Drosophila melanogaster: one gene and its partner. The protein of the gene in region 1 interacts with the protein of each later gene in a pairwise test. Each region holds a gene or a part of one and is shown on either strand. Other genes may lie near its edges.

The links.
Region 2: the proteins of CG9795 (region 1) and Nin interact in a two-hybrid assay, tested with the Drosophila melanogaster proteins (2 studies listed by BioGRID).

The regions. Positions count from the first base shown.
Region 1 is NT_033777.3:4,314,494-4,330,703, reverse strand, and holds CG9795 (uncharacterized protein), read right to left. Parts: upstream 11,022-16,210; 5' UTR 10,918-11,021; coding exon 10,814-10,917; intron 8,860-10,813; coding exon 8,657-8,859; intron 8,357-8,656; exon of another isoform or gene 8,209-8,356; intron 7,474-8,208; coding exon 7,082-7,473; intron 7,018-7,081; coding exon 6,815-7,017; intron 6,752-6,814; coding exon 6,540-6,751; intron 6,368-6,539; coding exon 6,194-6,367; intron 6,117-6,193; coding exon 6,032-6,116; intron 5,975-6,031; coding exon 5,893-5,974; intron 5,832-5,892; coding exon 5,215-5,831; coding exon of another isoform or gene 5,205-5,214; exon of another isoform or gene 5,008-5,204; coding exon 4,869-5,007; 3' UTR 4,611-4,868; downstream 1-4,610. Other genes in the region: CG9776 (uncharacterized protein), read left to right, coding at 456-604, 670-2,567, 2,687-2,697; Syt14 (synaptotagmin 14), read left to right, coding at 12,077-12,122, 12,195-12,356, 12,416-12,748, 12,815-13,050, 13,598-14,581.
Region 2 is NT_033779.5:5,272,473-5,288,682, forward strand, and holds the start of Nin (ninein), read right to left. Parts: upstream 6,077-16,210; 5' UTR 5,718-6,076; coding exon 5,462-5,717; intron 4,870-5,461; exon of another isoform or gene 4,854-4,869; coding exon of another isoform or gene 4,775-4,853; intron 4,709-4,774; coding exon 4,464-4,708; intron 4,260-4,463; coding exon 4,040-4,259; intron 3,897-4,039; coding exon 3,816-3,896; intron 3,309-3,815; coding exon 1,547-3,308; coding exon of another isoform or gene 1,543-1,546; exon of another isoform or gene 1,355-1,542; intron 1,119-1,354; coding exon 689-1,118; intron 626-688; coding exon 514-625; intron 457-513; coding exon 206-456; 3' UTR 1-205. Other genes in the region: Bub1 kinase, read left to right, coding at 6,888-7,799, 7,856-9,517, 9,602-10,327. UniProt on the Drosophila melanogaster protein: Required for the positioning and anchorage of the microtubule minus-ends in various cells.

The DNA of each region.
Region 1 (16,210 bases):
TAAAAATTTCATTATACCCGTTACTCGTAGTAAAAGGGTATACTAGATTCGTTGAAAAGTATGTTACAGGTCGGACTCGTTTGTGGCCATATAAAATAAGGATATTCCTGATCAAGATCACTAGCCGAGTCTGGCCATGTCCGCCTGTCAGTCCGTTTGTATGAACGTCGAGATCTCAGAAACTATAAGAAAAACTTCGAGAAGATTTAAGTTTATTCATTTCCCAATTTCTATCGACATGCCAAAAAAAATTTTATAGCTCTCGTTCGCACTTCCACTGAGTCACCAAAGGGTATCTAATAGTCGGGGACCACTCTTGTCAAAACTAACATAGGCCTTCCACTTACCTTTCTCGTATATATTTTATAATTGCTTTTATTAATTCTTCGCCTCATGCAATTATTCTCCTGTCAATTTGGAATATATTATTGACTTTTTGTACCCGTGCATTGCAGCAATTTTTAAATCAGAACCCCAACTATGAAATAGAGTGGCAAACAAACCGCGAGCGGGCCATGAATCAACAGAAAGATCACGATGATGCCAAGAATAAAAAGTCCAAGAAAGACGAGGACAAGGCGTCCAAAAAGAGGAAAAAAAAGGGGTAAGGGTCATAAGAATAATTTGAATCCAGATTATATTTTATATTTGTTTCTTTTTTACAAACAGCGGGGACAAAAAAAAAAAGAAGCGCAAGCACGGAAAGAAGAGCAAACGTAGTACAATAGATGCAAACAGCACATCGTCATCCTCCGATAGCTCTTCGTCGGAAGAGGAAAATGGACAGCAACCAAAGAAAGGTCGTACCGAACAGCAACCAATTTGTCAATCAGATAAGTCGACTAATGCAGCATCAATACGAGTGGCCATGAGAAAGCAGGAAAGCACACCAACAAATTTGAAGCCGGAAGTGCCTTGTCAGCCTGTGGTGCCGCCACCGCCACCGATCATAAAGGATTCCACAATTCCTTCAGAACGGGGTAAATGGACTGCCGCCAGTGTCGAAGACCAAAGTAAGGATCAAAAGAACCGGGATGATACCATGCTCAAGCAATGGAATAATGTGCAGCCTGTTATAAGTGAGAGTGAAAAAAAGTTGTTGGAGCAGCTTAAAGGAAGGCTGAAGAACAAGGGAGCCCGCGACCAGAACAACCACAAAGCAGTACCAACAGAAGCGAATGATGAAAAGTTTAGGCGGGGTGGAGGACGTCATTCTCGTTCACGTTCTAAGCGGCGCAGCTACTCTCGAAGCATAAGTCGCGGGCGGGATCGAGATCGGCGGGATCGTGAGCGAGATAGAGACCGTGGTCGTAGGCGTCGGTCACGCAGTCGTGGCCGACACTTCTCTCGTTCGCCCATAAGATCTAGTCGAAGAAGTCGATCCCGTCAGGGCCGAAGTCGACGCAGTCGTAGTCGCTCTATTGAACGGGTAGAGCGTCCCGTGGTCAAGCATTCCGAGTTTCGGCCCCGTACTGTGCCGGAACGCAAGCAAACTGATATAAAGCGCGACAAGAAGGATGCAGAAAGCAAGTCAAAGTCATCCAAGCCCAGTAACAATTCCTTGCCTGGAGGCAAAAAACTACCTTTCATCGGTAAGATGCCAGTATTTAAAAAGCAGTCTGTTCCATCTTTCAACTATGATGCTTCTGCTGTCTACACCAACGGCTGTTTGGAGGCACCACCTCCACCGCCACCTCCATTGGGCGGAGCGACAAGTCAGATAGCTGTGCGTCAACAAGCACCGACAGCTGCGCAGATTCAGATGGCAATGATGGAAGATGCTTTTGGCAATGCTCCCCCATTTCATCCAGATGCGGGTATGATGGTAGATTACGATGAGCTAATGCCAGATCCTGTCCAGTTCGCCAATTTAATGACGAGCTGCCCACCACCTCCGCCGCCTGGAGAAGGCTCTGAAGGTGATGCCCATGGCCCTGAGGATGGCGATCAGCATGACAACGAAAACCGAGAGGACGTCTTGCCCCCAGGCATTGATGAAGCTGAATCTGCCCTGGTACCGCATCCGTTAGACGCTGCGGCACAATCCCGAGACGGGGAACTCCCAAAGGACCTGGTCGAAGCGCTTGACATAATATTCCCCAGCGACGTAGCGATTTTGGAGGCATCAAATGGAAACAGTGAAAAGCAGGAAGATGTGACTATCACCACCATTGTTGAAGATGACGCAGTGCTCAGTGTGATTCATCTTCAAGATTTAGCTAAAGAGGGTATTCACCTTGTAACTATCAATGAAGCAGAGGTACCTAAAAAGTCACATATTCAAACATCGGAGAAGATTGAAAAGTTGCAGGATTTAAATGGCAAATCGGACGACGGAGTAAACATAAAACTGATTGACGCAGAGGATATCCCAATGCCGAATTCGCCTCCGGCTGAGCCGTCATTTGACGAGGAGACGAAAAGCAAGGCCTTACAGAAGCAAGCTGATATCTCAGAAATACCAGAGCCGGCTGTATCGCCTTCAGACAGTGAGAAGCTTCGTCGTCAGTCGGAGCTTGACGAGTTGGCTATGCTGGGAATCGACAGGAGTGACATGGCGGCACAATGTATGTAGAACGTGTCTTTCTTTGCTATGTATATTATTCTTTTTTTTTAATTAAATTAGAAACTGTGCTATTTGAGTCTTAAATGAGTTCTACATTATTTTTTCTATATATGTGCATAGATGCTCTGTAAGATTTGAGTTGACTTGGAGAGGGCGAAAGGCAAGTCCCGACGCCGGATACACGGGCGGACGAATCGAATAACACGTCAAGGAGCCCCATAAAAAGGAACAGTTTTAGATTTTAGATTGGCACCTGTGTATGAGTGTTTTTGACGGAATGTTTTAAATAAATGCGCATATATGTATGTAATATATGTAAGAATCCTAAAAACGTTTGATTTATAATTGCTTTAACATACACTGCGCGTCATCAGATTAGAGCCCCCTGCATGTCCCCGTTTCTTCTTATGTTCTGTTTTTCTATTTTGTTTTATTTTGCCATTGCATAAAAATATATCAATTTAATTTTTTTTTTGTTCACTGATATTCACCTCTTTGAGGATAAAAAAAGGTCCTGAAAAAAACCGTTATCTTTTTAGTTCTGCTTTGTTTTCTTTTCGGCGAAAAATTGGACACGTATATGGCATCATCAGATTAGCGCCCCATAATGAAGTTTGGAATATCTTCCATAATTTAAAAGGTAGGACAACAAAATTTTGTATGCTGTTAAATTGAATAGTTTGCTTTAATTTTGCGAAAAAATGGGACGAGGCACGCGAAATCATAGCTTTCTATGAATGCGGGCTTTCTTTTTATAAAATTGCAAACGGCAGACATCGCAAAACTATAGTCAATTTTATTAAAAACAAGTGAACTTATGGAAAAAACTATAAAGGTGGCAATAACATTCCTTATCGAATACCTTGCAATTCCCACGACTCCTCCGACAAAATTCGGGGTAAAAGTGGCGAAAACCCGAGCAAATCTTTGATTCAAAGAGTGATTAAGAAAACTAAACATTTGAAACACAGAAAACTGAAAAAAAACATCTCTTTATAAGTTGCGAAAAAAAGCACGACTGAGTTTTGCTTGAGCTTATATGATCCGGTCTAAGGAGTGGCATTATGTTGTATTTTCGGACGAGAAGAAATTTATCTGGAGAAAGCAGACGGCTATAGTAATTACAACCATGATTTGCGTATAGAGGAGCATATTTTGGTTCGCTTTCACAGACGGGTTGGAGGTGTCATGGTATGGAGCGCAGCATCTTATCATGGCCTCTGTGAATTCCAGTTTTTAACAGCAAAAATTATATTATTATATATAATTGTGTATTAAAAAACTGCATTTCCCTATTTTAAAAACATTTTTGGAAACATGGATTCAAAGCGAAATGTAAAAGTTCTGGGGCATGGTTGGATGGGAAGGTATACGAGGGTGGTAAACAATATGCCACTCAAGAGGAATCGATCACCGAAATAAAACTCGGTTGGTCTACGATTGCTTTGGATTACCTACAAAAAAATATGATTCACTTCCCAGACGAATGTGTGAAGTCCTTGAAAACAAAAAATCCTTTAAAAATATTCTAATTTAAATATTTCAGTGCTTAACATCTAATTTTTATTTACTTGAATAAAAATCTATAAACAACAAACTGTAACCCAAATAAACTTTTCATTTATAGAACTTTTCAACTCTTAAGGGAAAAAAATTTTCAAAGCTCTCGCTTACTAAATATCTCACATCAAAAAGTTTTGCTTAAGAGGCGCTGACCTGGTGACGCGCAGTGTATTAAAAAACTATAAAAACGCATTCCGTTCATGTTAATGTTTATGTTTATGTCTATTTATATGAATATATTACATTTTTACATTTTTTAATTAAATGGCACTTAACAAATATGGTTAACAATTTTCATTATTCAACCTACTTAATTATTATTTAAATTCTAGGCTTTTTGCGTCTATATAGATTTTGATTTTTGTTCATTTCGATAGGTACAGGTTTTCTTAGTTAATCATCCACAAAATACAAACACTGTTGTGCAATGCATCTCAATTAACTCAAAATGAATTAAATAATTTATGGACCATATTCATTTAAAAATTTAGTGACATTTATTTTTAGTAGACAAAAAACAATGAGTTTCAAAATTTTAAATTACAGTTGACACTTGGTAAAAGCATTCTAGTTAATACATTTGAGCTTACGCACAGGTTATTGGGTTATAATAAATTTTGAAACATAAGATGAAGTGTCGTTGATGTGATAATTGTCGTGTATCCAAATGCTATAAGTGAGTGACACGCATTTTGTGTTGGCGCAACCCTTTTGCTTTTGAGGCGGCTTATAGCTAAAACTATAAGTCCGTAATCGGAGCGTCCGCCACGCTGAATTTCGATGATAGCGTTATGTCCGCTGCAGTGCTTGATACGGTCGGGTTCCTCTTTGTCTTACCTCTCACCTGGTCACTTAGGTCTTCAACCAATTTCTCAAGGCTATAATGTTGCCCAGTATAAATAACCATTGAAAGATAAAAAGGAAGTGTACAATTTGTAAGTTTTAGGATTAGTTACCAAGCTCAGATAGTGATTAAAATGATTAGTAGAATGTGACTAAACGTATATTTAAAACGTCCATGCAAGTGAAAGTTAACGGTGATGGGTTAGTTTAAAAATGTAGAACAGAGCATATACTACACCCACGCAATTATACGTTGATTTGTCTCCTTACGTACGGAGGCCGCCTCGCTGCGCTCCCGCTTTAGATGAGCGTGGTCCTTCTTTCGTGGTAGCAATGGCGGTGGAATTCCCGGATTGATCTGGTCAGAAGCCAGCGCAAAAGAGGGAGGGCTTCTAACTGCTTGCTTTTCTGATTTAGGTATCTGTGAGTGAGGCGTTAAGTTGGAGGGAGATTGATGACCGATGTTCAAACACGATAAACTGTTGTTGCCAGTCAGGGATAATTCTTCTCCGTCCAGTCCTACTTGCTCTACTAACTGCTCCTCTTCTATTTCGTCGTCCTCTTCCAAAGAGTGTGTCGTTTGGATAGGCGTTTGATGCATTGTTCCATAATGAAGGTTTAAAGATTTTGCCCGTCGTATTCCGAGGGCACCGGAACCCACAACTCCGCCGCCACCCCCATTCGGAAATGGCTTTCGGAATCCATGGGATCGGTCATTTTCGTAAATAATGTCGTTACTGATTGGCCGCTGGTTATAACAACCGGCCAGAGCTTGACGAAGGCACTTGTTTTCGGATTCCAGATGTGAGAGGCGTTTGTTAGTCTCCTTTTTCTCCAGTCGCAACTGCATTACTTGGGTCTACAACCGAAATCGAATTTTTAGCTTTTAGCTTTTTATGCACATTTATTTTAGCACTCACCTTTAGATCGTCTATATCTCTCAGAATTCGGACATTTCCCTCGTTTAAGGAACACTGACGTTCTTCAACCATTAATTTTACTCTGAGAACAAAATGTAATCAACACTCTAAATATACTTTTTAATTTTCGACTTCTTACCGACTTAGCAGTGCATCTTCGCGTATGCGCGCTGCCTCCTTCACTTCCCGCACGACATCCGTCATCATTCCTGGAGTGTAGGCGCCTGAAAAATGGGAAGCGAATATAACTTATTACTCACTCCTTTGCATGGCATAGTTGGGGGTAGCGTTTATGTTATACCTGAGTGAAATGTGGGCGCTGGGCTGTGTGTCCCTCCCAATCCACTGCCAAGAATAAGAGGTTGACTTTGTGTGCTTAGCCCGCTTAAGCTATCTCTACGGTGCCGCATGCCCCCAAAGCCTACACCTGCCCAGTGCTGGCTATTAGGGGAGTGCTTTAAAGCTTCGATATCAACTATGATTGTGTTTGCAAGTGCAAGGGAGTACATAGAAAGAGGAAATGGGTGGCAACACATTCTAATTAGCATACGAGTACAAGTAAAATAAATCAGAGATTTGTGTAATTTTGTCGTAATTTGGGAAGCATCGTGACATCTAAACTGGACACAATCCTACAAACCACACACCTTTTGTATTATGCAAATTCCGGCAGATCTTGGAATTGGTGTCGTGCAATATGTTTATTTGTTCCATTAGAGCCGCGAAAAATTTGTTTTGATGTGCCAGATCACAGCCACTGCCATTGTTGTTCACATTTCGACACTCTGGTGTATTCTGGCCACTCAGCTTAGAGTCATTATCGGAGGGGTTCAGTAGGCACGGATCGCTGAACCGAAATCTGTTATCACACGGTAAGTACGGCTCTTTAATAATTCATTACGAATTTATTGTTTTTGCTTACCCCTTGGTAAAGTTGGGATTGCTTTCGCTGCCATCCAGCACATCCGTCGAATTCGGTTCCTGATCGCACCCAAGCCCTTCCGGCCCTCCCATCATGTTGTTCAGGGGAGGCAAGCTTGCAAACTCCTGGCCACCATCACCATAGCTGTTAAGGCTCTGGGGTGGGAAGAGCATCGGATATCGATGGCTAAGAGAGTTCGAATTCTGTAAAAATAAAATAAAGTTGGGTGTGCGTTGTACAAAATATCTTGCAATAGCAACTACTCACGCGCTGTATCCCCAGGCTAAACGGTGTGCCTGGACCCACTCCGTAAGGCTGGGTTCGCTTCGAAAATTCCTGTTGCCTCTGCTGCTGTAGTTGCTGTTTAAGCTGCGGCAGCTGCTGCTGTTGAGTCAAAAACATTTGCTTATGAGCTGGTGCTGTGGGCGGTATGAAGTCCAAAAACTCAGATGAAGAAGACAATTGGGCGTTGGTGGCATCACGTAAACAGCTCTCCAACCAGGCATCAAGGTGATCGTTGGAATAGTTAATATCGGTTCTCTTGACCTCACCGATGTTCGTTTGGTTAAGAGAGGTCGCCGCTGCTTCAGTTTTTTGGGCCAATGGGGAAGGTGGTACGTTACGCGACCTTAGTTTCTTGCGCTTGGTGGCATCCGTAGCTGAAGGAGAATTTAATTTGAGGTCATCTTGACAATTTCAATAGTGCAGGTCCTAGTGTGGACAGATTACGTAGCTAAAGGCTTCACGGCTTTCACTTCCAGCATTGACAAAGTGAAAACTATTACACGAATTCAACAATTCCGGACGTAACGCTCAACTCGGCGGCTAAACTAGAGTTGTCTAAGTTACTTTAGCCCAGAAAAACGTCTGGGGCAATTTGAAGCAATTTTAAGACTATTTTGGTTCGTTTTTCAATTGTTAAAACCAAACGGTTTTCTTTAAGTCAAGCAAATACTTGGTTTTTATAGATTGAGCAAACTCGATGCCCCTTTCGATAAACGGCCAGTAAGGAGAGCAAGGAAATTACTCAGAAATGCTTCTAAATGTTGAGGGATTGTCACCGAACCTTGAAAATATACATATTCTGGATTAGGATCACTAGCCGAGTCGATCTATCAATGTCCGTATGTCCGTCGAGGTCTCGGATACTATAAATTTCATAATAAGAAGCAAGCTTGTTTTGCAACTAACCAAAGCTGACACTCCCACCCCTAATTTGTTGTCATTTGACTGTATATATTGTTAATTTCTATTGATTAAAACTGCCACGCCCACACTATTGAACATTTTCAACTTTTTAATCAGATGTATGTATACTCATATACTTACTTAATATACATATGTACTTTATACTGTAATATTAATTTTAAACAAACAGTATATATTTTGCCCACCTTATATAATTCGGGAGTTAGGTAAATAGTTTCCGTTATTTCAATGATATATCTCGGACAAAGGCATCGTAACAAATAAAATTAAGTCGATTACTGACCGTGAAATCAGTCAGTTTGAATAGATTAAATCTTTTCGTAATTATAGTGGCTAAAAATAAAAGGAACCTTAAGATCAAAAAATGCAATATAACATGTTTATTATATCAAAATTAGTACAACACAGAAGAAACTTAGAGGTTTCTTAACTTTGCAGGGAATTATAAAAGGCGTAATGTACAAAATTAACCTAATTGATTTATTATTGTGTTTTGTATTTATTTAACATTTCACTCACTGATTTGGAATTTAATGTGAATTTTGAGTTTATAATACCAAGTTCTTTAAAATAGACTTTATAAACAACCTAGATTAACGGATATTCAATATTTCGGACGATGATCTCGCTCACCTCTCTGTGTACTGTTCAGACCCGCTCCAGTAGTGACCTTTTTCTGGGCACCGATCCCGCCGTTATTTCCTGGCGTTAAGCAAAAGCTGTTGCCAGCAATCAGCGACGTCACTTCTGCGGGGAAATCCAACCCACCGCCGTTTGTGCTTATCTCCCTCTGGCTGGAAGTTGTCGTTTCCTCCCGCAAAACGCTCATGTTGCTTCTGAAATAGAAAAAATACGGATAGTTAAGTATTGTTAAGCGAGGTTTTTCATTCGTGCGATTCCGCAGTGGACCATAAAAACTGGAAGCACACAGAAATTAACCCACGAAAGACTCGATGTTTGTACCTAGTGCACTTGGGGGAGACAATAAACAGAAGTGAAACAGCAAGAAAAATCCTCAAGTTACGTATGCAATCCCTGGAAACAGCCGTACGATTTCTCCAAACACTTGCACGACCACCGTCACAAACTGTGCTGTGGTTGCAGAATATACAATGTAAAAACATTTAAATGTATGCAGGCACAGACCAGTGGAATGGCACTTAATTGACGAACAATAAACATTTATTCACTTATTGATCTACAAATGAATTTAGACGAATTCACTAACAGATAATAGAATTTTCCAGCGGTAGCCCTAAATCAGCGTTTTGTGTCTATAAAATTGTCAATGAGGTTTAACAGTTTACAATACGATTGATAGTTCAACTAAAAAACCTATTTACCAGTTTTAAGCGTTGTTTCTATTAGTATGTAACATCTAGTAATACGTTCGGGATGAAAATAGGCGGTAGCTTGGATTCAAGATAATTGTATCTACTCCCACTTTAACTGACTAAGAACGACATTGGCAGTAAACTCTGGCCACCAAGATGAACGTCAGTCAAGTATAAAGAGAAAATAAACATTCGCCGCTTTTGGGTCAAGTTTTTTTTTGTTGGTGGGTGGTTGCCAGCAAATATACATACTGCAAGTGAAGACATACCAATAAGCATAAGGTATTTGGCAGCCAATTGAAGTGGCTGGTGCGTAATCTATGCAGTCGAGTTAACCGAAAATTAAGCCGCCAAACCAAACCGGTTTCACCGCTGTGTCTAATGACCTTTCCATTTAACAAATTTTAATGACACCAATAAAGAAAGGCTGCGTTGTCAATGGAGATGGTGACATGGCCCACAGCGACTCCTTCCCGCGATCAATGACTAAATGCACACGGCGACAAAGAGCTGGAAGAGCGAGTCGCTTGGTTTGTTGACCCAATCGAAGAGCACTATACATACATATGTACTTCGATTGCTTGAGCTATATTGTAGCAAATATTTAAACCCTGGCAAAAAATGTGAATTAGATATTGACTTGGCTGGCGATATTGATCAGGAATAGATATACTTGATATGGTCGCAAATATCTCCACCACTGCGTTAAAACCTTCTAACTGAAATTAATATACATTCTGCAAGGGTATGAAGAAATTAGGATTGACAGAAATGGAGTTGACTTGAAAGTTGAATACTAGCTTAAAAGCTCAAAAGACCGGGAAACGACATTGTAAGTTTTTGTAGAAATTCCAAGCATCTACAGCTGGGATTCCCACGCCATTGCTCACTGGTCCACTGCAAAAACTTGCTTACAATAGAATATTTTCTAGAAGCTCTGCGAGGATATTTTATATATTTGGAAGTACACATATATACCTAACGAAAAATGCCTTGGTTGTTAGATTCAAGGTTAGACAAACTTTTATTTTCATACAAAAGCGTTATATTATATGTATTTAGACTGCACTTTGCCAGATTCCAGTTCGGCTTCGTGCTGCTTTGTGTCGAAAAGTTTTGACACGCGCTCAACTCTGGTCTGGGCTCTTGGTACGGGAAATCGAGTTTTCAAATCCCTGTTCCACCCCCATCCCACCCTCTCGATTTTCATTGTGTGCGAGTGACTGCTGCGAAATGAAAAGCGAAACGACATAAGATGACGTCGTAGACTGGCTTTCTTCCTCCTGCTAGCTCCACCAGCAATAAAGAAACGAAGTAATCGACGCCAAGGAGGTGGTATCACGGTACCACCGCGGTATTCCGCTTTGTGGGGGGCACTGAGCACTATATTTAGCTGTTTAGCCATAATCATATTATCAGAAGCGTCTCAGCGGAATTTGGCACACACGGCACTCACACTTGCCCAGTGGCATTGGCCATCCAAAATTTACTTGCGTCACAATTGCGGATTAAATGTATTGGACTTTCAAGCACGGCGTGGGCGCGGTCACGGTTTTGCATACGGTGTTCTGACAGGCGGAAACATTCAGTTTGAGCAGCGACAAAAAATTAAGCGCACAACGGAACTGAGCCAATTCATTAGGCATTTATTTTAGAGGTGGGCAATCTGCGATGTGCCGTCAAAGCGATGACTTTCGCTGGAACAGCGATTGTTGCGATTATCGATACCTGCTGCTCGGAGTGTTATCTGCTATCGAATAACAGCGCATTTCATGTATGTAAGCATGAGTAGCTCTAAAAATTTTGACCTAAATTATAAGGCTCTTTTTTAAACAACCGGACAATTACCTGAATGGAGCATACAATGTGCATTAATTCTGATGCACTAATTCCGCTTTTCTTAATTATTTGGTTCAAATTTTTGAACATCAATAACAGGCAAACGGTCTTGGTCTTAACATTTTATGAAACCGTGGCTACGACTAACGTTTAAACCTTCGAATGCATACGACACGGAGAGAATTTTTATTCGAGACATTCTAAACAATTACAATTCAAGAAATCACAGCACAGCACAACCAATAAAAAAGAATCCCGTTTCTAAGTTTTCAGCTTAAATCATCCTCCCAAACACAAAAAAATAAGCAACAGTTGTTACTGCGATGCAACTGTCGAAACGGAGCTTTTCCGAGCCCTGTGTGTACACACACTGGGGGTGGAGGGATTAAGCTCCAAAGTGCTTGCTTTGAAGCAGTTTTTCCATCGAGTTTAAGGCAGCTCATCCTAATTCAGTTGAATTAAATCCTGAGCCGTTTGATTTTTATTTCTGAATCTCTCGTTGCATGATTCGCAGTTTTGGGATCGTGCCTTCAAGAAATCGAAAGTGATTAATAGGATAGAACAGTATAGTTGTTCCTTCTATAATTTGTTTTACGATTTTGCAACCAAATCTCAGATGAACGGTTCCGAAATACGGAAGGGCCAAAAAAACGGGTAATTCGGAGTACACCAGCTTCCAAACGACTTTTTTGCTTTGATCCCTAGTCGTTGTCTTGCGAAAAATCGATTCCAGTTATCCTGCGACGCTGTGCTGTCAAATTCCTGAGCTTTTGCTTTCACGCTGCAGTGAGAATAATTTTTAGTGACTTGACTTGTGGTCCGGGTGCAATGAGTTGCGAGTAGTAGACTCGTGTTCGCCAGGATCCTCGCATGAGCCAAGATGATTGTTACCTCCGCTTCTGGACTGGATAGCACTCCGACGCTCGGTACGTAAAAATGTATATGCACCCCACAAACCACACCATTCTGACCTGAGCCGTGACTGTTAAATCTTTCAGGCACCATCGAGGTGACCACTTTGCTGGGCGCCTTTTTCGGCGTCCTCGTTCTACTGCTCCTGTTGTTTCTTTTCATCAGTCGCAAGTGCTGTTTTCACTACCGCCATGCCATCAACTGCTGCGACGAGCGCCACCTTGCAGTCAAGTGTGTGCAGAAGATCAGTGAGTACCGTGTTTCGTGGGGATTGGGGCTGACTGGCTAACTTTTAAGTATCCCGCAGCCCGCAAAAGGCGTTACGAGAACACCAGCTCCGACTCGGAGGAAGACATCTTGAGGCGCCTGCGGTGGCATCAACAGCACCAACTGGGCGAGAAGCCTGGCGGATACGGGCTGGGAATCAGCCAGGCTAATCCGCTGACGGCGCAGAGCTTCAACTACCACCAAGCAGGCGCAAGTGCCGACCTGCAGCGTGTGACGGTGTCGCGTGACCCCTTAGCCATCGCCGAGCGTGGCAAGGTTGGAATCCCGTCATCGCACAGTGAGTGCAGCTCGAACGATTCCATGGAGGTCTCCGTGGACAGTCACACAGGCGTCCTGACGGGTCTGAGCAAAGGTAAGCAAGGCGGGGTCAGGGCCAGCTAATTGACAGCCGTTGCAATGAGTCACGACCTTTTGACAGCCACAACCACAGTTCCCCACCCGGCGACAGCCTTCCGCAATCCGTGTGGAGAACACCGGGCCAAGACCCAGGCACTGAGGTACCAGCACCGGGTCAACGTGGCTGCTCCGCCAAAGCTGGACAAGGAACGGGACAACGTGCTGGTGGTGCCCATGGTCAATGCCTACAGCATTAACAACAACAACAACTCGATAACAACCAGCAATAACCATCCCAGCAGCAACAACAACGATGACGTAAGTTTTACAACATAAGAGGTACTTTAAATACCTATTCCTTTAAAAGAAACTATGCCTAGAAAGGCATTCAACTTTCGGTCGGACTCGTAAAGTTTACCCAACAAGCATAGTCGAGTCTAACCGACTCTTATGGTCCATATAGTCTGTTAACAATCTTTTTTTGCTTGACAAGTTAAAATTCATTAATGCGTTGTATAAATTCATTAATGCGTTGCATGTGTAAAATAAAAGTTTATTATCTTAACTTTGAAAAATTATGTGCACCGCATAAATTAAAAATTCTTTCTAAGAAATATAATTAATCTGTCAAAATCCGATACTTTGCTAAAAAATAAATTAAAGTGTTTAAGTTACTTTACTTGCGAGTACCAATTGATATTCCAAAAACTATTTATCCCTAGGCTCTTATTATAAAATCTTTTTGATGGGTAATGCGTTCTTGATAGTCGAGGCACTCAACGATAGCATTTCATATTTTCTTGTACCATGCTTTAGGGCTTTTCATTGAAACTTTTTTTAACATACAAAACTTTTCAACTTCCAGGAACCCCTATTTGACACCAGCGATTTGCGCTCGATCAAGTCGGATGACCTACTGGTTGGTGTGGACCAGAAGGAGCCGGCCGTGCAGAGGGGTCCCATCGAGCTGGAGCTGTCGCTGCTGTACGACGCCCCAATGCGGAAAATGACGGTGCACGTGATGCAGGCAAAAAATCTTCCGCCCCTGGGTAGTGGGCAGACCACCCACACGCAGGTCCGGATGCTGATGCTGCCAAGCAAAAAGCAGAAGCTCAAAACCAAGATCCGTAGCGGCGAAAATCCACAGTATATGGAGAGCTTTCTTCTCCATCGCGTCAACCCAGAAGATGTGAACAACATGGGGCTGCGTGTGCGGCTTTACGGCTGCGAGCGGCTGCGCAAGGAACGCCTGATTGGGGAGGCGTATGTGAGCTTCGCCACTGTTGACCTTGAACTGGAAACAAACCTATGGCTGCCGCTGGAGCCACGAAACACCTCGTCGGGCCTGGGTTCTACTAGCGATCTGTTAAGCCTGGCTCGGTCAGAAAGCGCGGGCTCCACCTCGTCCATGCAGCACGGGGGCGTCTCCGAGTTGCTGCTGGGTTTGAGCTACAACGGGGTCACTGGGCGTCTGAGCGTCGAGATCATCAAGGGAAGCCAGTTCCGCAGCTTGTCGCTGAACAAGGCGCCCGACACGTACGTTAAAATGGTTATGGTCAGCAGCATCGGACAAGAGATCTCCCGGGCCAAAACGTCAATCCGCAGGGGTCAGCCTAACCCGCTTTTTAAGGAGACATTCGCCTTTCAGGTGGCCCTGTTCCAGCTCAACGATGTTACTCTGATGATCTCTGTGTACGCCAAGCGGCACATGAAGAAAAACGAGATGGTCGGCTGGTTCAGCCTGGGTCTGAACTCGTCCGGATCAGAGGAAGTGGCCCATTGGGCAGACGTGTGCGAGATGCCCAAGGGAGAGATGCTGGCGCGTTGGCATGTGCTGGTGGACTCCTGATTCGAGCAGCTGGGCCAGTCATCCGGACGCAGCGGAAAGGCCCTCCGAAAGCTGAGTCTCGCTGCGTTCAAGGACCGGTCCCGCGAGAAGAGCTCAAAGGAGTCGCGTCTGGAGGAGAACGGAGCTCAATTCCATGCAGCGGTTGCACTTGATATTGAGCCAGGCCTGGAGCTGGACTTTGTCTAAAGCAGAGGTCTGTGTTTGTGATTTGTTTTTACAAGGTCGATGCCAAATGACGACTGCTGTCGTCAAGTGCTTGGCTCAGGATGAGACCGACCAAGAGGTAGGGTCATCCGAACAATCTAGCCTAGACTGGGCCATAAAATATTTGTAATTTGGAATCAATTTGGCACACATTTTGTTTATAAAATGTAGGAAATATGAAATATGAAAGCGAACAAGAATAACCAGAATACTCAAATTTTATACGCAAGTACATACACGAAAAGTACATACCAGTACTTATATGTATAACTACTCGAAATTTGAATTTTATGATTGTTTGTGATAAAGAATACTATATGAAATATCAGATGTCCGAATAGAGCGTATTTAAGATTTTGAGTGTACATTTGTACATCTGTGCAAGCTACGGATGAGTGACGAATTTTTGTAATTTACCTTTCTGCATCTTATATTTAAATATTAAGCCCGGCATAAGATGCCCAAAGTCTGTTGAGACTAGCACTTTTTTATTACCCAAATATGAAAACCGAAAACACATAGGAACAATTGTAGCCAATGCATACGTACATACAATACATCAAACCTGCAACTTACATACCTTAACAAACCTACGTACATAGGTAACTCTTGGTTTTTTGATCAAGAGCCATGCGCATGTTCCAGTTTTGATATTCAAAGAAATACAAAAGTATCGGTACCTTAGAATTCGAACGCACAAATACATATTCTACATTCGAAGATAAGTTGGAAAAAATGTTGGTAAAAATACTAGGACATCTGTGAATGCAAGCATGCCGATTCGCGTGCCAGGCGAGAAGATGGATTTTATTAGAGCTTTATTTCGATTTAGGGATCGGACTAAAGAGCACATATGTATTTAGCTGCTCCGCTAAAGTATCTGACTATCGTTGACGGTCGTTGTGGCTGGATTTTGCAATGGTCAATGAAATGAAAGTACTTTGGTTTTGCATTAGAGCGCAAGAATGATATAAGTTAAACTTATAAAAAGAGAAACCTTAAAGCTTTAATAAATATTTAAAGAAATTGTTTTTTAAACTCAAATTAAATCGAAACCTAAAAAAGCAAAACTATTAAGGTGTTGCCATGCGCATCCAGCGTAATATTAATTTGTATGTTGAATCATATTCAGAGTATTTATATCTTTTAAAAATCTGTATGTTTTAAGTGTCGAATATTTTATAACCGCAATTCGAATGAATTGGTGCTCCTTATTACTGCAAAGGCCATATATAAGCTAAGTCTATAACTTCATTTGGGAAGGACAGCGAGGATAAATTTAACTAACTAATCGAAATCGTTAATGTCGGTATTACATATTTCTAAATTCAACAGTGCAACGGCTGTTAGCCTTGACACAAAGTTCATTTTTGTCAAGTGTTTCAGACCAAAGACACTAGAATAACTCTAGTGTCTAATAATTCT
Region 2 (16,210 bases), on another chromosome or scaffold:
CATTCACAAAAAAAACGCAACGTACGAATACGAATACGACGGGTATGCAAACTTAATCTACCGAGAATTGTATATGTCTAAACATTCATAAGGATCTATGGTTAGGTGCATGTTCGATGTCTGCCGATGCTGAGCACCACTCCCTCCTCAGGTTTGTCTTTTTCATAATTATCTATAAACTATATACGTTTGCCGGTGGGGCAAACTAAGGCATGCCAGGCAGTCCACCGCCCACAAGGCGCTGCTGTTGCTGCTGCTGGTGAATGAGGTTCACCCTAGCTCGTTGCTGCTCCAACCGCTGCACCGTAGCCGTCAGATGGGAGTTCTCCACATATAGATCCTTCACCAGGATGTCGGCACTCTGCAATCGCTGTGTCTGATCGGCCAGTAAAACACCCTGGGTCTCGATTCGGCTATGCAAATCGTTGAGCTCCACTTGATGCTGCCGCCAGGATTCTAATGAATAAATATTACATTATCATTCTTGGTCAGTAGGTAGTTTCTTCAACTTACGCTGCATCAGGGACTCCGTGTAATGCTGCTGCTGCTTGATGACATTCTGCAGATGGCGATTTCGCAGCTCCAATTGGTTCAGTCGCTGCTGAAGCGTTGGATGCGTTGTTCGCTAAAGAAGAGTCCACAGATACGATTAGAATATGTTCCCTGATCAACAAAGTCTATGGCTCACCGCATAGGCCTTCTCGAGCACGGGTCGCGCCTCCTGCAACTGCTGCAGTTCCATGACCAGACCGTCCCGCTGCAGACTCAGATCCTTGATTTGCTCCTTGAGGGAGAGCTCGAAGAACTTAAGGCGCTTCAGTTCCTCCTTCAGTGCCGACGGACTGCTGCACTTCTCGTGGCTAAGGCAAGACGTTTTACTGTTGGATTCGAAGCTTTTGCCGGACGCCGTCGACGACGTCTCGCAATCGGCTATCTCTCCCTCCGATGCAGCCGCCTGTTGGGGACTCTGGGACCGCTTGGGCTTGCTGATCGGAGCTGGGCCGGGATTGGCGCCGTAGGCGTTGCTGTTGCCACTGTTCGTGGGCGAAGGACCCGACTGAGAGCTTTCGAAGGGTGTAGTGCTAAAGATGGATGTTTCCGAAGTGGTGAGGTTATTGCTGTTTAAGGGACCATTAAATTGGCATGATTTACAAAATAAAAACGACTTTGAACGAATTGTTAAACATAAAGATGCAAAATGAAAACGTGTAATGATACAAATGTGAAAAATAAGCAAACAAAACCATTTCCAGCAGCCAATTTCATAACCGAAAAAGAGTAATTTTTTTGTAAAATATTAAATGTATATTTATTGAAATCATAAATCAATGAATTTCGATAATGTGATGAATTTCTATATGAATATAAATTATATTTATTAAACAAGCACAAACATACAATTAAAAGGATTAAATTAGCTTATATTAGACATGGTTAGATGTGAGGGACAAAACTGAAACATATATACAGGACATACAGTGCAAATTATGAGGAAGACACAGGGATGCTCACACCAAGGACACACCGAGAGGCTTCTCATACTCACCGGCTGGCTGTCTTGTGCGATGGTGAGCCTCCGAGCAATTCGATGGCACTGGCGGTGGCTTCATCCTTGGAATCGGCAAGCGATTTCGCTGGCTCTTGGATGGTGCTCTGCAGCCAGAGGTAGCTGATGGGTGAGCTGGCTGGACTTTTTCCCGCCTCGGCACTCAGTTGGGCTACCGACTCCGAGGTGAGTTCACAGGCGCCTGTGAGGATCTCAACGCTCTCACCCAATCTCTGTCGCAAATCCTCGATCTCTGATTGCAGTGAACTGATTTCCTGAGCCTTCTCCTCGAGCATTTGAATGGAACTCGAGCGCAGCTGGGCTGCCTCTGCCTCCAATTCCGAGTACTGCTGTTCCAGCATATCGCGCTCATCAATGGGCGAGAGGCGGCCATCCTTGCTGAACTGCTCCTCGTACTCGCGCACCTTTTCCATCAGCTCGGTGAACTTCTTGTCGCTCTCGTGCTGCTCATCTTCGTAGATCTGTCGCTCCTTCTCAAACAGCTGCCGCTCCTCGCTAAGTTTCGTTTGCCAGTAGTCCTCGCAATCCTCATAGGCACGCTGCATTTGCTCTAGACTGGTCTCCAGTTCCTTCGAACGGCTTTCCGGGGTGAGAGATCTGCCTTCCTTTGCAGCCTTGAGTTCCTCCTCTAGCTCAGCAACCCGCTGTCTAAGGCTTGTTAGCTCCTCATCCTGGCTTTGACTTCTTTGCAGCTCGGAGTTTAGAGCCAACCAATCTCCGCTGTTGCTGGCATCGCTCTGCTCTCCTTCGGTGCACTTGCGCTGTTTCCCCAAGCGAGGGCTCTCCTCTGTTAGATGTGTTTTGCTCGGCGAATCCCCACGCCTTTTGGTAGCCGTGGCCGCCGACTCCTGGTCCTCTTGTTTCTCCTGTTTTTCTTGCTTTTTAGCCTTGGTTTTCGAGCGAATTAGTTCCACATTTAAGCTCTCGATTTCGATGGTCAGTTCGTCAGTCTTGTCACGCAGCTGGGCGTTCTCCATTTGAAGAGCAGCCAGCTTCTCCATTAGCTGGAGCATCTCCTCCTCCTTGTCCTCGCTATGCCTTCTCGGTCGCAATGGACTGTGCTCCGGGGTGCCACCAATGCTGCTCGACGTTTGGGCCAGTTCCTGGTTGAGCTTAATGTTCTGTTCGAGAAGCTCTGTGATTTGGATGTGAGCCTTTTGCTGCTCCGACTCAAGCTCCGTGTTCTCAGTGCGCACCAGTTCAAGTTCCGTTCTCAGACGGATCTCCTCCTGCTCAAGCGATTTAAGCTGTGCCTCCAGCTTTCCCGTCATGCTGGTCCAGTGATCGCGGTCATTAGTCATCCGCAGCGTTATTTCACGCACCATGCTGGCGTGTCTTTGCTCCAGCTGCTGCACCTGCTTCTTGGAGTTATCCTCCAGCGACGCATGCCGCTCATCCACTTCCACGGCAAGCAAAGCCACCCTTTGGTTGGCCGCCTTATTATCGGCCCTCAGCTTGAGGTTCTCCTCATGCTGCTGCCTATAGGCAAGTCTGTAGTTGCCCAACTCGGTGGCCTGCAGAGCAGCCAGAGCGCGCAACATATTCGATTGCTCGTGATCCCCATCGATGCCCCGCAGCTCCTCCTCCAATGCCTTAGTTAGCTGCTGCAGGTTCACCTCCTCCTCCTCATCGAATCCCAGGACGTGAAGTAGGTTGCGAGTGTTGGGAATGCTGGCCAGCTCCCAGGCTTCCATAATGCTATGCACTGAGATCGTCTCCAATTGCTGCGGCGTCACGGTGTCTGTAAATCATGGCAATTAACAATTAGCGTGGGACGAATGAGATTGGCTTCGCTGTTGTATATACACATTTATTATACATATAGCCCAAGATACCAGGTGGGTGTGGGATTGGATTGGGATTGGGAGTGGGGAAGGGTGTGTGTGTGTGTCGATGGTGTAAGCAAAAGCGCCGAAAGTTTGTTATTTCTCTATATCAAATGGCTTTTCGAAATGAGAAATTTTTGGCGTGTTATTTTAAGAGGTAGAAACTAATAAATCAAGAAAATAGAACAAATTATAAGTAAATATCCTTTCTAACTGAAATTGATTTATATGAAATCCTTAATTAAATTGATTGTCAATGCATTACAGCATTACTAAGGGTTGAAAATGTAGGATATGTGATTATACGAGTAAATAGAACGAATCAAATGTGCGGCTACATAGGGTGCGATTAGATACCGAATGACTGGGTTGGGGATTCGGTGGGTGTGAGGGTGTTGACAATTGCTTCAGAGCGCACAAACCTTTGCAGCATGACCAACGGCCGCCGTGGTAGCATCTCCAGTGCTCGGACGACGGTGCGGGATTGGTGGCCAGGCGATGGCCTACGGTGTGTACCGACAAACAAGTGTTTTGCTTTTAACATTGCTTCAAACGTAATTTTGGCATTTTGGGCTAACAACAACAGAGGGTGGCAGGGACAAGGGGGATCGGCTAGCCAAAGCTGGTCTGGCCAGAGGAAACTTACCCAGTGATTCCACGCTGCTGCTGTGCTGCGCCTGGCTCTGGATGGAAAGCTGTTTCAACTTGGCCGCTGCCGTCGGTGATGTAGTGGCTCCCGTGGTGTTGCTGTTCATCTTCCGGCGTGCTGGCAGTGAAGCACAACGCTTCAGTTTGCTCCCGCTGGTGTGGACGGACCGCAGACGCCGGCTGCCAGGAAGATCGCTCTGGGACGAGGAACGTTGCACCTGTGTGGTTTGGAAAAATAAGATGCTTATGATGATCATGATGTATATTTAAGATAATTTGTTTGCTTTGGTAGTGCTACTTAGGCATGCTCTACTGTATCAGCAATAATAACGATTAAACAAAATCTGTTTACTATGCAATTTTGCATACATAACCAGAAGTTGTATCGCCACTTCGTACGTGACTTGACAAACGACACTCACCTGAACTCCCAGCTCATCGCATCCGTTGAGGCTTCGCTGATTTTGCTGCTGCTGCAACTGGTCCTCGTCCGTATTGTCCGAGTCCGTGACGGATAACTCGTAGATTCCCTGCTGTGGCCTAGACCGGCGACCGTATTTCTTGGTGCCCACGACGAGTTTGGGTGAAACCTCGCGATCGGAAGACTCCGGCGGACTCTCGATGTATGTGTTGTTTAGCGGCTCATCCGTAATCACCAGTGAACGCTCTGGAAGATTCAATAGATATAAGTTAGCAGAGAACTGGAAGAGTTGTATGGATCTTAGGTGGCTACCAAAACGAGCGGCTAGCTTCTCAATTATCGGATCTGTTAACTGACCGCCGGATCGGCGGTAATACAATCGTGTTCCCATTTTGATTTAGACTAAACTGCCCAGGTGAATGTGTCGCGTATTTATACAGGACATTGTAACCATCTACCTGATAAGGATCATGCAGGATCAGGTAGTCGAGAACAGTTGGGAGTCGTAAAAAAGTGTCAATTGCATCTATGATTTTATGATCGCCAGCTGCCGCCGTGCTAATCCGCGTGCTGATTATGATATTCGTACCCTAAGGTGTCCTAAATTTGCCCAGAAGTTTCCAAATCAGATAAGCGGAGGTTTGAAGTAAATGTGCATAATCCTTGCAAATTAGCACGTAGATGGTAGCACTTCTTTGAGTATTAAGTAATGGCTTTGTTCATCTATAGACTGCTAGAAATGTGTTCATTAGATCAGTGTTTTATTAATAGGGAAACCCACACGGTTCCAAATCCGTGTCAAAATTGAATTACTATCTCTAATAAGTGGCTGGCAAACATTCCGTAATTATCTGATGTTGCTTGATGGGTAATTAAAGCGCAATTACAGATAAAACGTATGTTGTTTTATGCGAACCTGTCGCGTTAGCTTATAGCAAATATTATCTTTATACTATATAAGTTAATCTATAGCGTGATCGATTCTTTGTGCTATCTCACCAATGAAACCCGATGACGTATTACCATCGAACTCGGAGCCCAGGAAGTTGAGTAGCGCCTCCTTGAACTGGCCAAAGGACACGCCCAGCTGATGGCTGCCGCCCAGGCTGGCGATCAGTGCGGATCCCTGATCCCGGAGCTCCAGCAGTGAGCAGAGCTTCAGCAGGGACTTCTCGTCCAGAAGTCCACACTGCGTCTCGCAGCTGCGGAACATTTGGTAGAGCTTCTGCTCGTACGGATCGGCGGATACCTCCATTATCCGTAACCCGGGGAATTCAGTTTGCTGCCGTTCCAATCGATCGGCTGCTCAATTGCGTTTTCACTTCGCTTTTTTTTTCTTGGGGGGAAAATCCACAAACGCAGTCAGGGGTCGAAAACAAGAAAAGTGAAATATCGGGGTCTATGTGCGTGGGTGGCGGGGGAATCACGCGTGTTTTTTGGACAGCAGGCTGTTTGAGGGGTTACTAATACTACTAATCTATGATATGCACTTCGGAACGCAACATAAACACTCGCGGGTTTGCGGTTTTTTTGGGAATAGCGTAATTTCTAGCGAGTTGATAAAAAACAATAATGCAGTAATAGCGAGCACGGTGGCGCGCTCTGGAGGGCATTAAGCAAACTTGCATCGGAGGTGGCACTATCGTGGACCATTGTTCCTATCGTTATACAACTATCGTTTAGGATTTGAATATTTATATTACAAAATAAATAGATAACAAGGGAGAACGTAATGCCATATAATAAATCGCTAACTTTACTTGGAAAGCTTCAGCTCCAACCAGACCCCTTATTAAAGTAGAAAACTTGACATAAATTGAAATCATCCGATTAACATGTTGTTTTCCAATAATAGATTATAATTATACAAAAAGTATATCAAATAGGAAGTGCTTCATAGCACACACACATATATTGTGCGTCATTCAAACTACAATAATTTAAAACAAAGAACCCTATAGTTTTATTAATAAAATTGAACTTTGGCAACAAATAAATAAATAAAAAGTAAAGTTGTACAAAAAATTGCTTTTGTTTAAAAATTCCCAACAACACGTTTCTATCGCACTATCGATAACCTTGTGCATAGCCATCGTCAACAGTGACAGCCAATGGTTCTATCGATTGTTTGGCAGCACTAATAAATTCCATTTGCAAGCTGAAAAGCAAGAAAAAATACAAAATATCTTTGAGCATTGCAAACTGTTGAAAAATCCAACTGAAAATCATGTGTATGTGCCACCAGTGACAGCCGAAGACGCCGAGGGATTAACTGAGTTAGTGGACCCTAACCAGTCCAATCGGCAAGGGGCACTACATTCCGCAATCCGAGACTTTTTGGTGGTGACCCGTAGAAACCACAGTCTCGCATTCATTTGTTTGCATTACGGCGCAGCGGGATCAGAGGATTCCGCGTCCGGCCGAGATGGCCATGCACTCGTACATGCGCCAGGGATCGGGTTCCGGAGGAGGAGCAGGAGCAGTCGCAGCTGGAGCACCGCCGCTGGCCAGCCCGGACGAGATGCACGGCTTCCTGAACGACAAGCAGGCTTGGGAGCACGCCATATCCCTGTACCAGGGTCCTGATCCACTCGATCATTGGTACAACTACATCTGCTGGTACGAGAATCACGCGCAAAGCGATCCGGAGCTAAAGTACCGCGAAACTCTGGAGCGCTGCCTGACGGTGTATGAGCACAATGACTACTATCGCCAGGATGTCCGTTTGGTGCGGCTGTGGCTGAAGTACATAGCCATGCAAACGGATCCACTCCATTTCTACCAGGTGCTTTTTCAGCGAGGAACTGGTCGCCAGGTGGCCGCCTTCTACATTGGATGGGCTGCCTATTACGAGTCTCGCGAGGAGTATAAGGATGCGGAGGCGGTGTTTAACTTGGCCTTCCAGGAGAAGGCGCAGAGCACTTCCGAGCTGCAGCACGCCCACACCAAGTTCGCCTATGCCAGGTCTCTTTTTTACCAGCGGCAACAGCAGCAACAACAGCAACAACAGCAGCACCAGCAACATCCCCCGCAGGATGCACTGCAGCAACTCACGAACTATGCACAGCAGCAGATGCCACAGAGCTATAATCAACACCGTCCCCAGCCATATCAGCAGAATGTCTATCAGCAATATCATCCGCAGGCGCAGGCACATCAAGCCCCACAGCCTCATCAGCCGGCGCCACAACAGCAACTGCCGCCAGAACAACAGGTCCCCTATCAGACACACTACCAGGAGCGGCCGCGCTATGAACCACATCCTGCAACTCAGTCCCCAACAGCAATACCACCATCCCAAGTCCAGCAACAATCGCATTATGCTCCTGTGGCAGAGGTGAGCATTAAATTTAATATCAAAGCTACTTGATAAATACTCCTTTTTTGTTTTAGTCCCATTATGCACCAGCCCAACAGTCACAGTTGCCGCCGCAACAAACTACAGTACCGCAGTTGCACGCACAGCAGCCGCAGCAGCAACAAAACGGCAACGGCAATCCACCTCCTCAACAAAGTCCTCCGGTGACAAATGAAGTGGCTGGCCTACGCTTGCCGCGCAATTTCCACGCCTACGGGCGCAACAACCATGAGACATGGAAGCCGGCTCTAACGCTTGAAGAGCCTGATGATCCCTCGCGCGTGTGCCACTATGCCAAGCAGTTGGTATATCCACCAGGAGCAGGCGTCGAGTACAGTCCCGAAGAGATACTAGCCCGCAAGTTTAAGCAGTTAATGGATCAAAAAGCCAAGCCATCGGAGCCGCCAGAACAAGAACAGCAAACTCTTTATGATTCCTACGAAACTGAGAAATCTTACTATATGACTGCTGTGGATGGAGCTCTTTACGGGCAGAACACCAGCAGTGGTCAGGAGAATACAGGTGAGGAAGATGAGGACAATGACGCCGAGGAGGGAGAAGAGGAGGAGGATGGTGGTGAAGAGAACGAGGAAGATGACTCTGATGAAGAGGAGGAAGACGATGAAGAGGAAGAGGAGCATAGCGGACCGTACACAAATGGCGTGCAGTTCAGTGCGCAAACCACTTTCGAGCAAGAAAATCGATCGATTAAGATCAAGTTCAGGAAGGAGCCCAGCAGCACCTACAGTGCCTATACCATAGAGAATGTTTACCAGCAACAACAGCAGCAGCAGCAGGAGCAGCATCAAATAATCCATCAGCCTCCGCAGGCAGTACATCATCCTTCGCCGGACCCGGCACCTGCTTCTCCGATTCCCATCCAGCGTCAACGCAACGGAAGCCACCACCACTTCCATCCCTACATGCTGGGCCAGACCTCGACGCCGAAGAGCGAGGCGAATGGCTATCGCAGGGCACGCACCAAAGTTAAGCGCAGCAAGTTCCAGCCGGATCTCTGCAGCAACAGCAACTCGGCATCCTCGGTGGCTGATGTGGCCTCGAGTAGTGTGCTCGCCGGAGCACCTGGCACATTTAATGACAATGCAAACTTTTCGTTCTCCAGTGCCACAGCTTTGGATAACTCAAATAGCTCGCTGGCCTTGGCTGTTGATAGACTTAACTTCCGCGACACATCGCAACAGCAGATCCTCCATCCGGTCAATAAGACCTTACAAATTCACAACAACAACAATAACACCAGCAACAACAATAATGGCACTAGCACCATGGCCGATTTCTCCACATTTCAAGAGAACTCGTACTTCGCCACTCAGCACGACACGGAGGCCCAGGAGCGTCGGCTATCGAAGGCCGTTGAAACGATAGCCCGCCACATGGACAAGGAGGCCATCGATCCGTTCAACAGCGAACTGTGCCGCGCTTTTCTCGCCAAGCTAGATTTTCCGGGTAATCACGATGCCCATGCCAGTTACAAGATTGTCCAAACGCCACTGCCAAAAATATCCAACACTCGCACGCTGAACGTCCTGGAAGGCGTTACCTTTAGCATCGACAAGGAGGTGGGTCGCGGCTCATATGGCTCGGTTTATAAAGCCACTGATTCTCGGACCGGCAATGTAGTGGCGCTCAAGTATCAGAAGCCCCCAAACACCTGGGAGATATACATATGTGATCAGGTAAGAAAAATTATATTTACCACTTATATTAAAGTTTTTTTTTGCCAAAAAGATTTGGGTGTTAATACATATTGCGTGTTTTAGGTGCTGAAACGCATCAAGGAGCCAGAGGTGTTGCCTGGCGTTATGGACATTTCCACGGCGATCATCGCCCCAAACGCTAGTCTAATAGCCACCGAGTTCTCACCGTTCGGTTCGCTGCTGGACATCAACAACAAGATCCGCCAGGCAACCACCAAAGTAATGCACGAATCGCTGGTGATGCACTTCTCCGCACAGATCTGCAATATCGTGGACCACCTGCATCGCCAGCACATCATCCATGCGGACATTAAACCGGACAACTTCCTGCTAATGCGTGTGCCCAATGTGGACAGTCCGTTGCCATCGCTACGTTTGATTGACTTCGGCTGTGCTATCGATATGACCCTGTTCCCGGACGGTGAGAAGACCAAGTTCCGGAAGGTGGTGCAAACGGATGGCTTCACCTGCATCGAGATGCAGGAGGGACGCAGCTGGTCCTACGAAACGGATCTCTTCTGCATCGCGGCGACCGTTCATGTGATGCTCTTCGGTGACTATATGCAGCCGCAAAAGAAGGGCTCCAGCTGGGAAATACGACAAAAGCTGCCGCGTTACCTCAAAAAGCATGTGTGGACCAAGTTCTTCGGGGATCTGCTCAACATGCAGGCGGACAAACTGCCAGCGCTGCATGAGATGCGTCTCATCTTCGAGGAGGAGGCGTACCGCATGGACTCCGAGCTGCAGAAGCAGATACGCACCCTATCCAACATCCTGCATCGACGATAACCAATCTATTCCTATTCCTTTCTGTTAAATTGTTTTGCATATAACTCTGTTGACCAAGTCACCCATTTATATTGTTTCAGTTTTTATTTTAAAACAATTTTCCCTCTTCAAAGATGATAAAACCAAACCGGGAAAAACTCCGCGTTCTAATTTTAAACTATTTTTCTGCGAACAAACTCCCTTTTATTTATTGTTTTGATGCCAAAAAAAAAAACGAAAGCAAAAAGTACGCTACAAAATTCAAAAACATTGTAAATATTAGGCACAGACTCGATCTAAAGCAACGTTTACGAAATGAGTTTGTGGAAAAAAGGCCCTGGATTTAAATGTAATTTTTTTATGTACAGCACAATAAAACAATATATTGAAGGCAATGTAAAAAAAAAAAGAATCGTACATAAATATGTTTAAGATTAGTGCTTGCTGTACTATTGAGTAATATATAAAGATCTTTAAATAATAGTGAATAAATTGACGAAATGTTAAAGCAAAAACCATATGAATTGCAGCGCGAAAAAGGAAAGCAGTGGTAACCCAGTTTCATAAATCAAATGCCAAAGTGGCGAACCCATAATGTGTGTGTTGCAGGCAATTGTCAATTTAGTGGGGGCATGCAACAAGTAATAGCAGCAACAGCAGCGCCAGCATCAACAACAATGCTGCGCTTGACCCACTTTTCCTTTTTGCCAGTCAACCAAACGGCGCACAATTTCCACCAAGCGACTGGAAAAAGTTGCAACTTTTCATGCAACACACACACACATCGACGGTTGGAAAAGCTGCAACAGGCACACAAAGTCAAAGTCGACGCCTGCGCTGCGGCTTTTTGTTGCTAGTTGCTTGAAACTCGAAGCTTGCAGCTTGTTGCTGGCTGCTCGTTCGCCAAGTGAAAGTAAAGTGGGACAAATGCAATTATTATTGCATCTAGTAACCGACTTAGAAGTCGTGGCGCGAAACTGCAACTTGCAGCCTATGCAGTATGCAGTATGCAGTTGGAAAGTTGCTCTGCCGGCGTCGCTTTTACACAATATTTTATTTAATCAAATTGCAAAGAGAAAATTGCAGCAGGCAGTCCGCCGGCGATTGGCGAAAAACTTTCTATTTTTTTGTGTGTCGACTGCAACGTCAGCTGCAGCATTAGATACTTCAGCGGATTGTTTTGCATGCGATAAATTAATGAATGTGCCCCAGTTTCGGGGCCACGGGCATTGAGTGACAAACGGAGTGGCGAAGCGAAGCGAATGACAATGCGGCATTTATTAGATCACTGGGGCACACCGATCTCCATCTGGATGCCATACCAATACCCATACCTATTCCCGATTCCGATCACCCGATATGCCAGCCAAAAACACAAAGCAAGATGACAACAAAAGTCAATAGAAATGGGTAGAAAGAAATTCGTTAATAGATCAGTTAAGTGCTGAGCTGCGGACACTTAACTCGTTTCTAATTAAGCTGATGGCCAACAGTATTTGGCTCTCCACCGAAGGAAAGTCTTAATCCCAGAAAAGTGGGGAGACTTTTCGTTAAGTACCCACCAGCAATTAACTTGGCTAAGATCAAGTTACCAAGCTACGCGTTTTCACCATCTGGACAGGTGCCTAAGCGGATTAGCCAGGATTTAAAACCAAGATGATATGATGATTATGATACGATGATCTCATTATGATACGATTTAAAAAAAAATTAGCTAGATAATTAAATAAATTTACGAACTTAAAATCATAGTTTCATATCTTAAATGTAATAGTACTTATTACAAGAATACTTTCATAATAATATCTATATCTCTTTTTGTTGACTTGAAAAAATCTATGTATATTAAAAGATTCATTTAATGCCATATTCTATTATATTTTTTAAATATCCTTCTTTTATTTTCTTTACCTAAAAATTACCCATTTCTATTAGTAAGTAGCTCATATTTTGTAACTTATGAAGCACGTCTTGTTTCTCCCCCACTGAAGATCACTCAATGATGACCGATGGACTCGACCAAAGGAGCGTTAACAACTTGCGTTTGTGGTAAGGACCGATCTGAGTCACCCTTGGGAATTTAGGGTAGAACAACGACTACCAGTCGGTTGGTTGGTTAGTCATTCCTGTGACTAAGTGCAACTCCTCGCTAGCAAGTCGTGCAAAATGGTGGCATGCAAAGGTTACTAAGGGGACCCTACTAGATTCGCCTAAGTGGCAGTTGCAACAGGCGGAATGCATCAGTGGCCACACACAAAGCCAGCAAAATACATACATGCACTCGTACGAGTATGTGTGTGTGCAGAAAAACCAGCCAAGACCCCCATCCCCGGCAGATAGCGATACTGCTCACCCCTCGAATGCCATGCAGTGTTGGCCATTTGATTGTCATGACCAACTTTTCACTGCCGCACCGTGTTGCTGCTGCTGTTGTTGCAGCCGCTAATATGCAACAACATGCAACAACTGTTCGCCAATTGCACGACAAAGCGAAAACTGGGAAAATAGTTAAGTAATTTGCAGTGGAAAGCAGTGTCGGAGAAATTCGATTCGATTTTCTTGCTTTCTGGCTGCAGTGCGGTGCATGTGCATCATGGCACACATAATGTTGATGCCACGTTGCGAGCTGCAGTCGCCGCGATCCACATCCGTTTGCAGTGCTGTTCGCTGTTGCCGCATTAGAAAGTTGCAACTGCAACAACTGTCATGGGCCGCTTGCTGCAGCTTTTCTTTTTCCCACTCGCCGAATTGGGGCTAACGTGTATGTACTGTACAGTGTGCACTATGCAACAGCACCCACCCCCCGCCGCTGCCATCGCTTGTAATGAGTTTTGACCTCATAAAATCTGTTCGCGAATTTTCCCTACTATTTTCTCTTCTCGCCAAATATTTTGCATCTCGCCGAGGGAAACTTGAGTGGGATGGAGAAACTTTTTTTTTTTGGCGGAAAACTTTAATAAGCATGCGGTGCACCGATTGCTGCTGACAAACGTGAAAAAGGAAAATTCTCGAACGAAAAACGATATCTAGCATCCGGTAATTGACCCACTAAAATATGATCAATCGATTGGCCGCTTAATAACTATCTTTATGGGGCAATACAACTGGTTTGATGAGTCATTAATTGCAGCATATCTCAATCAATCACGATTGAATATGTGATTTTTATTAATATTTCCTTATATGTCTTAAGGATTTAAAAGCCGCCAACTGGTAGTGACCTTCAGCAAATCGATAACTAATTTGATAAGTAATACTTTGCAGTTGTGATAACAGCTCATGTGTGGTAACTTCTTATCTTTATGCCGCTTATAACAACCAAAACCTATGCCAATAATCATGACATCACTGAAGTGAGTCATTCTTTTATTGAAACAAATATTTGTTCACTAAAATGAAGTATATCTAAATATTTTGTTTTCCCCTAATTAAATGCATGCAAGAAATGTGGTAGTAGTATTTGATTATTTATTCATTGTTTATGTGTTTTATAAAATGCGTGAATATGTTTCCTTGCCCGTTTTCTGGATAATCACACCAATGAACTTATTTCATCAGCCGTCATTCAGTTGACCCCAAAAAAAGTCCTTTCGTTCGGTTCACTACCCCCTGTGTATATGCAAACGTCCTGAAAAGCCTACTTCAAATTCTATTTTCATCACTCACATCCCTACTTACGTATGTATCTCCTAGTCATTGTAATTGCGGTTATCTGGGGTCTGGTGTCAAGTGGCCATGTGACTTTGACCGAGAACGCGGTGGGCCGATGTCCTGTGACCTCGTCGGGTGCATTCAACTGAGGCCGCCATGTGGCAACGTCCGCCGGCCGAGTCAATAGCCGAAATATCCCGAAAAAGCGAGAAATCCTGCCACAAACTGAGCCTGTGACTGGGCCGCGAGTTCGTCGCCCAGAAATTCGAAAGCAGAGAGAGTGTCAGTCTTTCGTAATGCCCACCGCCTAATGGTGGATTTCGATGAAGTCGAAGGACCAAGGACCGACGTCGACCGCTGTCATTGCACTGCCCCGCCCACCGGCACCTGCTGCCGCCTGTCGCCTGTCGCCGCCCACTTCCGTCGACAGTGAAAACAGAAAACCGAAAGGTTATTATAACAATAAGGAGCAGCCAGTGTCTGGACCCCCACCACATCAAATTCTGCAACGGGGCGAGTCTAATAACCTTTCCCTTTCACCGAACATGTCCACCAGACGACGCCCCAACACATACATACATATATAACTAACTATATATAGATATATACCGAAATGTATGTGTATGCACCTCAAACGACAGTAAAAGTCATCGCCATCGAGGTTCAGACATCTTCTTCCTGCCGCTCCTGTTTCCACCTTATGTAAGTTTGGGCCTGGCTAATGAAATCGCCAGACTCCTGCTGCCAACTCCTTTATATGCTTGGCTATATAAAATGTTATTGCTGTGAATCTAGTCGCTGTTGATCGGCAGTAATTTAGTTAATTAAATTCTAATAAACTGGGTCTATTAATGATTTAAGCAGAGTATTTCCGAGTTTTTAAGTTTATTAATGACTTTAATTGGAAAAAATGTGATAATTTATACCCGCCATTTATAGTAAGTGGTTTCCTTAATATAGAAATTAAGCAATTCGATAAATACGTCAATTATGTGCTTGTAAAACATATCAACTTTTCTAAGTGCACACTGTTCAAGCTGCAACTTTTTGTCCTGGCTGAGAGTGTAGAGTGCACAGAAGGGCGGAATGGCTGCACCACTGGAGCGTAGCGTGCACCTGAGAGAATGAGAACGTGAGCAATAACATCCAGACGGGCAGAAAATTATCAGGGGGGAAGAGCTGGGTTAACAGATATTTAAAGGGTGTCATAGCCACAGTGGTCGTCGATCGAGCTTTTAATTAAATATATATTCCAATCGTGGTGAATTCTCCCAATTTAAGAAGAATGTATGAATATAGATATTAAGTATACGACTGGTAAGCCACTATACAAATTTAAAGTTGTGTGCTTAGTAAACTCTTGTTTTTTAAGCAATTAACAATATTAATTTAATAGTACTTTGTTTGTGACTTTGATCCTTAAACTGTAGACTTCGAACCACAGTGCCACGGTTGGTCGCGCAGGAATTGCGGCAGACGGCAGACGGTACGAGGTATATGGTAGCTGCTAGACGGTTCCAAGAGGATGGAGGGTAGATTCCGATGGAGGACGAAGAGCACAACGAGGAGGCAGGGTTCCCGGCAAGTGAACGAACTGCGAACTGCTGGGCGTGTTTGTGTGTGTGTGCGTGAGTGTGCGAGAGGGTGTTCGATAGCGATGATGTGGACGTGGAATTGGATGTTGCTTCTGGTCCCTATCCGTGTCCCTTCCCCCGCGGGCCCGTTCTGCCCATGCCCAAGTGTCATTGCTCGCCGGCGACGCCAGCCAAAGACTTAACCTTGAAAAGTTTAACTTTGCCATAAAGGACGTGCGGTAAGCGAAGGGGGATGCGGATGCGGAGGGGAAATAGCGATGTACTCGGATCATGTGGGCCTGTACAGTGAACCCAGGAGCGAGTCCTTAGGCTCTTTCGATGGAAGCTTATAATCTACAAAATCCCTAGATAAATTTATATAATAATATTATGCCCAAGAAGACATATAAATATTTTGTAAAAACCTTAAATGCCACTATCCTCCATCCCAAGGACTACTGTACGCAGATTAGTTAGCACAATAAGCTGGCTTGTTTTCAGAAACAGTCGTTGAATCATGTCGCATCTCATCCAGAAAGCCGCTCATGCATTGGATTGGCATTCGATATTGGGCCAAAAGAAACTTCCATCCAAATGGCAGAAAGATCACGAAGCAAGAACTTGACAGGCGATCATCGCTGGGTGAAATGGGAGTGATGATGTTATTGGTTTGGGGGAA